Canis lupus familiaris: one gene and its partner. The protein of the gene in region 1 interacts with the protein of each later gene in a biochemical or structural test. Links are inferred from orthologs where the notes say so. Each region holds a gene or a part of one and is shown on either strand. Other genes may lie near its edges. The genes, in order: ANXA7 and SRI.

Region 1 (4,519 bases):
TATAAGCACAAGATAGAAGCTAAAAACACTAAATTGAGAATGAATGGGCATATATTGGGTCAATATTGGGTCAAAATTATAAGTTAATAGGAAAGATAGTAAGAAAATTGATCCAGTCAGTTCTAAATCATTTGGAATTCAAACGCTCAGATGTGAAAATAGGAAGAGGCTAAATCAGTTTTTCCTTTCTTCTCTAAGAATGTTTGGTATAAGGAATAAAAGGACAACAGCATCTTAGAACAATCAGATGGACCAACGGCAAAAGAGTCAGTGTCAAAAGAAAGGGGAAAAAAAATCTGATAATTTTGAGAAAAATTTTAAAGGCAACTAGTTAACAGTACCAAAGACTACATTTAAATTTCTAAATCTCAGGAATTGTTCCAGTGACAAAGTCCTATTTCTACATTCTTTAACTACTATATTAAATCTTACCCCTAAAGGCCTAGAGAAATTATGTCAACAAGTTTCAAAACACAATAAAAATGAAGTAAAGACTATCTGCATATAAGAAAACTTGTGCAGGGGCCATGCTAATCTTTTCTGTATCATTCCAATGTTAGTATATGTGCTGCTGAAGCAAGCACTGCATATAAGAAAACTTAAAGCAAATTTAAGAAGGTGAATTTGGGTACATTCTGAAGAATGTAATTATAAAAGTCCTAGAATCCAATTTCATTTCCAGGGAATGTACCTTATTTGCACAAATGTAAAATTACACATGTACAAGGCTCTTCACTACAGCACTATTTGTAATAGAAGACATTAAAAACAATCTAAAAGTCCATCAAGGGGCACCTGCGTGGCTCAGGCGGTTAAGTGGCTGCCTTCTGCTCAAATCATGATCTCAAAGTCCTGGGATTGAGCTCCAAGATGGAGCTCTGCTTCATGTTCCTTGTTCAGCGGGGAGTCTGCTTCTCTCTCGAGCCCTCCACCCTATCCCTGGCTCATGCTCACTCGCTCTAATAAAATCTTTAGAATAAATAAAAGTCCATCAATAAAGTACAGGTAGAATGGATTCCGGACAATGAAGTGTTACATAGCTATTAAAAACGAGCAGCTTTTGGGGTACCTAGCTGGCTCAGTTGGTAGAGCATGTGATTCTTGACCTCATGGTCCTTGACTTCAAGCCACATGTTGGGCGTAGATTACTTAATAAAAAATAAAATTCAGTTTTTTAAAATCCATATGAAACCATCTCTAAATCATATTAAGTGTGGAAAAAAGGCCAGGTGAACCCTGCATAGATAAACTGCAACTATAACCGTAGAAGATATATTTGCTTCTACGTATAAGAGACTATCCCTGAAAGTATTCTCAGAAAAGCAGAAACCAGTAGCTGCCTCTAGGGAGGCGAGCTGAGGCATCATGGGAAGGAAACTCAATTTTCAATGTACTTTTAGCTCTTTCGGAATTGTGCATGTATCATCTACTCAAAAGGCGGATTTAAAAAGCCTTTGCAAAAAACTAAACAAATCCCAGGATGACTCAACAAATTACTCATTTTGCCCAAGGAATAAAGACGACTATACTGGTAAACAAGACCTTTTATTTCCTTTTTAACATTCTCGATCTGCAACTACTTTTAAAAGACTAGAAATCATTCTTGGTTCTCCAAACCATCTCCACCCAGTGAGTCAGTTACTAAAAGGGGTGGGTCTCACTATAGGAGTCTCAAGATGGCAAGAAGTCCAAGGAACACAAGAGGCAGCTGTTGCAGATCTATGAAACAAATACAAAACAGGAAGGGCAAGTGAAGAGAAGATGGCCAACAGGAGATACTACAGCTTTCTGAAACCCGCCTCTTGGTCAGGAAGGACAATTTAAATCTGTCAGTCAGGGCCCTTGGATGAAGAACTAAAGGGAGGGCCGGCGGGGACTTCAGGGGAGCGTAGGCAGCCACCATCAGTGAGGACCGAAAAGCAGCTTAAATTTGGAGCGGCCAACTAGTGCCTGAAACTCCTTCCGTGTCTGAAAGGTAACTCATTAGCTCTCATTAGGGCAGGTTATCAGATCAGGTCCCTACGAGATAGAATAAACCAGGGAGTCTAAAGGCCGTCAGGACTTCTCATTTCTGTCACTTGATGGGGTACATTCCATCTCTCTCTTTCTCTGCAGAGGAAGTGTTCTCTCGGGACGCTTGCTGTTCAGGGACCAGGAATCCAATCTGGAATGTTATCTCCCAGAACAGTCTCCTTGAGGCAATGTACAATCTGAGGCTTGGGCATTCTGTCCTAGGCTTAGTGAGGCGCCTGACAAATTTCCCTAAATTTGCTGTGTCACCGGAAAGTCCAGTCACCAGCCATTTTTTTTTTTTTTTAAGACTTCATTTATTCATGAGAGACACACAGAGAGAGGCAGGGAGCCCGACGTGGGACTCGATCCCGAGTCTCCAAGATCACGCCCCGGGCCAAAGGCAGGCGCTAAACCGCTGAGCCACCCGGGGATCCCCGCCCGTCAGCTTTCGTTGTTGCTCCTTGCGGGTTTCCCTACTCAGCCTGCCTTGAGGTCACTTCAGCTGGGCCGTGGCCTCAGACCCCCACCTGTGTCACTGCTCCCTCTGACCCTCGGGCCGCGGAGGATCCGCGGGCTGGCCAGCCGCCCAGCCGCCCCGCCGCCGCGCCCCCGCCCCCGCCGGGCAGCCCGGGTCGCGAGACGCGCGCAGAGCCGCCCCCCGCCCCGCAGGCCCCTCCGCCGACCCCCCTCCCCCCGCGGGGACACGCGCCGGGCCCGGCCGCCTCCCGGACCGCGGGCCTCAGCGGGCCTGAGCGAGGCGACGCGCGGGAGGGGGGCGGGAGGGGTAGGGGGCGCCGTTCCTCACCTGGCCCGGGGGAGCAGCGTCACAGCGTCACAGCCCGACCCTGGTCGCCAGCAAGATGGAGCCGGGGGCGGGCCCGCAGAGGCGGAGCGCCGCGGCCGCCGCCCGAGCCCGGTGGGAGCGCGGGAACGCCCCTGGTGCGGGGGGCGGGGCCGCCCGCCGGGCCCGAGGCTGTCGCGTCGTCCGCGCGCCGCAGCCCCACCTGTGGGGAGACGCGGCCTGCCCGGGCACCGGCCGGCTTTGTCACGTTTCTCTAATTCCGTTGGGGGCTCTCTCAAGTCACAGCGGTTTTAAGAAATTCCGGAGCCCTTTCCGTGATGGGCGGCTGGGCGTCCAGGTGCGGCCCCTCCGCCTGATTTACTGTCCTCCCCTGAGGCCTTGTAAAGGATAAAGATCGTGACTTTTATTAGATCCCTATGAAATGAATTAATTCTTATTGGGGATGCTACTCAGATATCGAGATACGTCAATCAAAACCACTCTAAACGGGTTGTTGGGTGACACGAGGCTTCCCTCACACTAGAGCCCTAAAATTTGACGCCCACACTAGCATTAAATATCTTACGTAATTTCAAGGGCTCAGACCGGTATTTTAAACTCATTAAGAAAGTTTATTCCAGGAGCACCTGGGTGGCTCAGTGGTTAAGCGTCGGCCTTGGGCTCAGGGCGTGAACCCGGGGTCATAGAATCGTGTCCCACATCGGGCTCCCTGCAGGGAGCCTGCCTCTCCCTGTGTCTCTCATGAATAAATAAAATCTTAAAAAAGTTTATTCCAGAGCAAAAACCAGCTTCCCTTTACAGTGGTTCTCAAAGCGTGGTCCCCATACCAGCAGCAGCAATATCACCTGGAAACTTGTTAGAAATACAAATTTGGGGCTCAACCTTAGATCTGTTGAATCAAACCCTAGGGGTGGAGCTTGGCAATTTAACAAGCCTTCCAGGTGGTTCTAATGCACACTTAAGTTTGAGAACCATCAACTTATTACTCTACATGCTTCTCCACCCAAAAGCTTCCTCATCAGGAATTTGATTTTTTCTGGTTTCAGAGGGAAGCTCTTGGAGAAGTTGAAACAAGGGAATGACATAGCCCAATTTATTCTTTAGAAAAAATCATTCCCCCAAATGAATGGCCCCCAAAATCCAGACTAACATTTGATCTGGTGATCAAATAAGCAGAGATTTATATCCAATACTGGAGGGGGAAAAAATGGCTCTGACAGACCTGCTGAGAGGAGCATGTGCTAGAATCCCATTATAGCACTATCCTAAGGGATTTTCACTAAGGTTTTTAAAATGCAAATTTTTTCATTTGCTGAGTAAGGAAATATATTGCGCTTAATGATGTCAGTCTCCTTCTATTAAGTTGGAAACACTTTAAGGGCAGAAGCCATCTTAGATTTCTCAGCAGTTAGCATGAAGCTAGGCATTTAGACTTAGGTACTCTCACCACCAGCCTACTAAGTTGGAAACTTTTGTGTCCCTTGTTACTGTGTGGCTTCTGTCTCCTGATTTGATTCTGATACATTGCACTTCACCCATCACAATCAGTAACCAAACTCTATAGATTTTACTTTCATTCTCTATCTATAAACTGTCACTATTCACTTGTTAGAAATCACCTGTTCCTTTCCAAGCCTCCTACTATCACTTTAGCTGGCACTTGCATTATCTTGTCTGAACCATGGCACATCCAAGTGGTTTTTC
Region 2 (3,814 bases), on another chromosome or scaffold:
TTTTGAGCTGTTAAATTTACTTCTCGGTGACAGAGATACTTGTTCAATGAAGGCAGAAACAGACACAACATCTGAATGGTGTTTTCCAAGGACATTTCTGATTGACATCTCCCAATAGCCCAAAGAAGGAGGTATTATTACTTTCTCTCCTCAAATATTCTCAGAGCAATGATGAAACCTATCTCTGTGACCCAGCCAGTAAATGGGACCAGCTGGGCTCCGAACCAAGTCTTTTAATGAAAGTCAAAGTGAACTATATGAGTAAGACTAGTAATAAATGAAATTAATAAATTCTGAATGGTAACTCCTAATCATTTAATCCTTGATTACTCAGCATCCTTAAGATGCTCTTCATGGCTAACTTCAAAACGGATGCCCAACTGGCGTACATCTTATTCATCTTTACAGTTCCGAATTTAGTGAGACTTACATCATCATATGGGAAATTCACAACACCTTGCTGAGCAGTATCCCGTCTTCGAAAGCTGTCTATAAAACACCACAGTAAAATCTATGGTTATTTTTAAACATCTGACATCACAACAGTAAATTATTTTGGCATTGGGTTCAAACTGCAGTAGTATTTGAGTTGTAAAATCAGCCAACATAAACAAAAGCCCACAGTAAAGAAGCCAACTATAATAACGTGGATAGATTTAATATACAACAGAGTAATACAGTGCAGAAATAACAGATGATACTGTTCCATCACACAGATGCCTCCAAACTACAAACTTCTTAATAACACAGATAGTGTTTAGGAAAATGGATGGATGGAGTTCCTAATATGGCAAATGGGCTATAAAAAATATTCCACCCCTCTGAGCTCTGTGCTATTGAAAAGGATTTACTTTAATTAAAAAAAAAACAAAAACAAAAAACCTGGCCTCATACTTTTGTTAGGATGCAAAAGAAATTACAAACCCAGGTATTAAAGAGAGTAAAGACTGGGGTGCCTGGGTGGCTCAGTCAATTAAGTATCTGATTTTTGATCTCAGCTCAGGTATTGATCTCAGGGTCCTAAGTTCAAGCCTCGAAAAAAAAAGAGAGAAACTAAAGAGAGGAATGGAACAAGAAAAATAGAAAAATATACAGAAAAAAGAAAAAGAACAAAGGAAATAGAAAGTAGAGATTACTGATACAACCTCATCTAAGCAGTCCATACATTTGAAACAGATGACCACAGCTTTAAACTACTTTCCAACAGAAGGAATTAGGAGAGAGAGCTAATGAGTAATTTCACTCTCTTCAAATATTTTATATTCTAGGGAGGAATCACAGAGTACCGCTCATATGCTGATAAAAAAATGCACAAATTAGCTGATCATGTTTTGGAACATTTTTGTGAAATTCAGTTAAGATTTTTTTTTAAGGATTTTATTTATTTATTCATGAGGGACAGAAAGAGGCAGAGACATAGGCAGAGGGAGAAGCAGGCTCCACGCAAGGAGCCTGATATGGGACTTGATCCCGGGTCTCGGGAATCACGCCCTGAGCTAAAGGCAGATGCTCAATCACTGAGCCACCCAGGAGTCCCTAGTTAAGATTATTTTAAAAGCAGTTTACCACTAATCTGAAAGGATTTCTGAAAAAAAAAAAAAAAAAAAAAGTTATTCTGCTAGACACGTTTACTAGCAGTGTTTAAAAAGCCACTGAGGTTAGGGGGGAGAAAAGATTGTGGGCAACAGAAGTTCAGAAACACTTTACAAACACCCTGGTGAACACCACCTCAAAGAACACACCTGTCAGGGCTCGCAGTTTGACACAGCAGGCGATGTAGTCATCAAAGGTGATCTTGCCATTGGTGCTGTATCGTTTTGCAATTGAATTCACAGCCTGGGGACTCAAACGAAAACCTGAGGAATGAAAAAAGGTAAAGTGTAAGAAAAAGATCATTAAAAGTCATCACAATTTTTTCAGTCTGGGAGTACTCATTTTTAACTATGAATATACACTAGGAATTACATATGTATTATGTACTTCATTATGAACATATACTACTTCTAGAAAACAGAAACTGCCTTTTTTTTATAAATTTATTTTTTATTGGTGTTCAATTTGCCAACATATAGAATAATACCCAGTGCTCATCCAAGTGCCCCCCCTCAGTGCCCATCACCCAGTCACCCCCACGCCCCGCCCACCTCCCTTTCTACCACCCCTAGTTCATTTCCCAGAGTTAGGAGTCCGTAACACTTGGTTTTGGAAATGAAAGGAGAATGATGTCTGCGGTGGCTGGAGTCAGCCATACACACCCATTGTGGTCAAGGCCTTCTGCAGTTCTTGAGGATCCACTGTTCCACTCTGATCACTGTCAAAACTGATGAAGTGTTGTCTCCAGCCATTCAGCACAGCCCAGAGTTCTTTAAATTCATTGAAACCCATTGTGCCTGACATATCTCTCTGAACCGTAATTAAGGATTAGAGCACCTTTATTTGGCAACATTTTCTAATGATTAAGCCAAAGCTCAAGGGTAAGGGAGTTTAACATTCTTTCTGCTAAAAAGGTTAAAAATGTTACAAGTCCCTCTTGATGTGATACAATGAAAGGATACTCTAACCATATAATGAAAAGAGCCTATGGTGAAAAACCTCAGAGTACAGATCACCTGTGAGATGTGATTACAAGGGAGTAAAGTGGGCACTGTGGGCCACACGTGGAAAGGGATCTCGTTACCGGAACCCGACTGCACTTTCTGAGTGCCCTCGGCACTGCTGCTGGGGTCCAGGCACTCCCCTGGCAGGCCCTTCCAGACCTGGGGCTTTCACTTTTGGAAAATGAGGTGGGATGGAAGGCACTGCAGGATCAGTACAGGCTAAGCTGAGTCTAATAACTGTGATGTGAGAAATTCCACAGTGTGAAGGTCAGGTGTGAATCACGTGGGGCAAACAACGATAAAGCAACGATAAACCCTGATTTCACCCTGATTTCTATACTTGTTCTCTTCTGATGCTTCCTTGAATTCCTGAATAACCAACACTATATCTACTAAACTCCCTTCCCTTTTTGCACCAAATTACATGTTAAAAGTTAATGATTTCAAGAACTTTGTGGTCTTTTGTTACCTTATATTTACTGGGTATTAATTCTTAGATGAATTCTTTTAGGAGAAAATTTTTGGGGGAGGGGTGGTCAGGAAAAAACCTTCCAGCAGCAATCAAAGGATACATCCAGCATTGAAACCATAAGCCGACAAGTCTCCAGGTTAAAAGCTGTTAAATCAAAGAAAGTACATACATATTAATACAGTTTCAAAAATTCACATTACATTGCATACATTGAAATTAATTAGGAAAGTGACTATTTATGTACTCTTACTTTTATATACTACTTAATTTATGTAGAACTAAAGTACATGGAGCTTTGAAGGAGATTTTTTTCCAGGTAGTGGGGATTCCTTGTAGAACCTAAATTTGAGAGGTGCCTGGGTGGCTCAGTCAGTTGGGCGTTTGACTTCAGCTCAGGTCATAGTCCTGGAGTTCTGGGGTTGAGCTCCATGTCGGTCTCCCTGCTCAGTGGGGAGTCTGCTTCTCCCTCTGCCCCTCACCCACTCTCATGCTCTTTCTCTCAAATAAAATCTTAAAAACAAAAAAATGAACACAAACTTGATTTTAACAACTTTAATAGAAATCTTTTTAAAAAGTATTGCACTATACTCTTAATATTTTTAGGTATGATAATGGTTTTGAAATTGAGAGGAGAATGTCCTTATCTTTTAGAAAAGTAAACACTTAAGTTATTTCTAGGTGAAATGAATGTTGTAAGATATATGGAATTTACTTCAAAAGAAAATGGACAGAATTACAGATGAAC

The links.
Region 2: the proteins of ANXA7 (region 1) and SRI interact in a biophysical measurement, tested with the Homo sapiens proteins (2 studies listed by BioGRID and IntAct, with this or other methods). The link is inferred for Canis lupus familiaris from reciprocal best matches to the Homo sapiens genes ANXA7 and SRI.

The regions. Positions count from the first base shown.
Region 1 is NC_049225.1:24,692,071-24,696,589, forward strand, and holds the start of ANXA7 (annexin A7), read right to left. Parts: upstream 2,925-4,519; 5' UTR 2,819-2,924; intron 585-2,818; exon of another isoform or gene 480-584; intron 1-479. UniProt on the Homo sapiens protein: Calcium/phospholipid-binding protein which promotes membrane fusion and is involved in exocytosis.
Region 2 is NC_049235.1:14,241,338-14,245,151, forward strand, and holds part of SRI (sorcin), read right to left. Parts: intron 3,214-3,814; coding exon 3,170-3,213; intron 2,404-3,169; coding exon 2,256-2,403; intron 1,857-2,255; coding exon 1,743-1,856; intron 490-1,742; coding exon 431-489; intron 1-430. UniProt on the Homo sapiens protein: Calcium-binding protein that modulates excitation-contraction coupling in the heart. Contributes to calcium homeostasis in the heart sarcoplasmic reticulum. Modulates the activity of RYR2 calcium channels.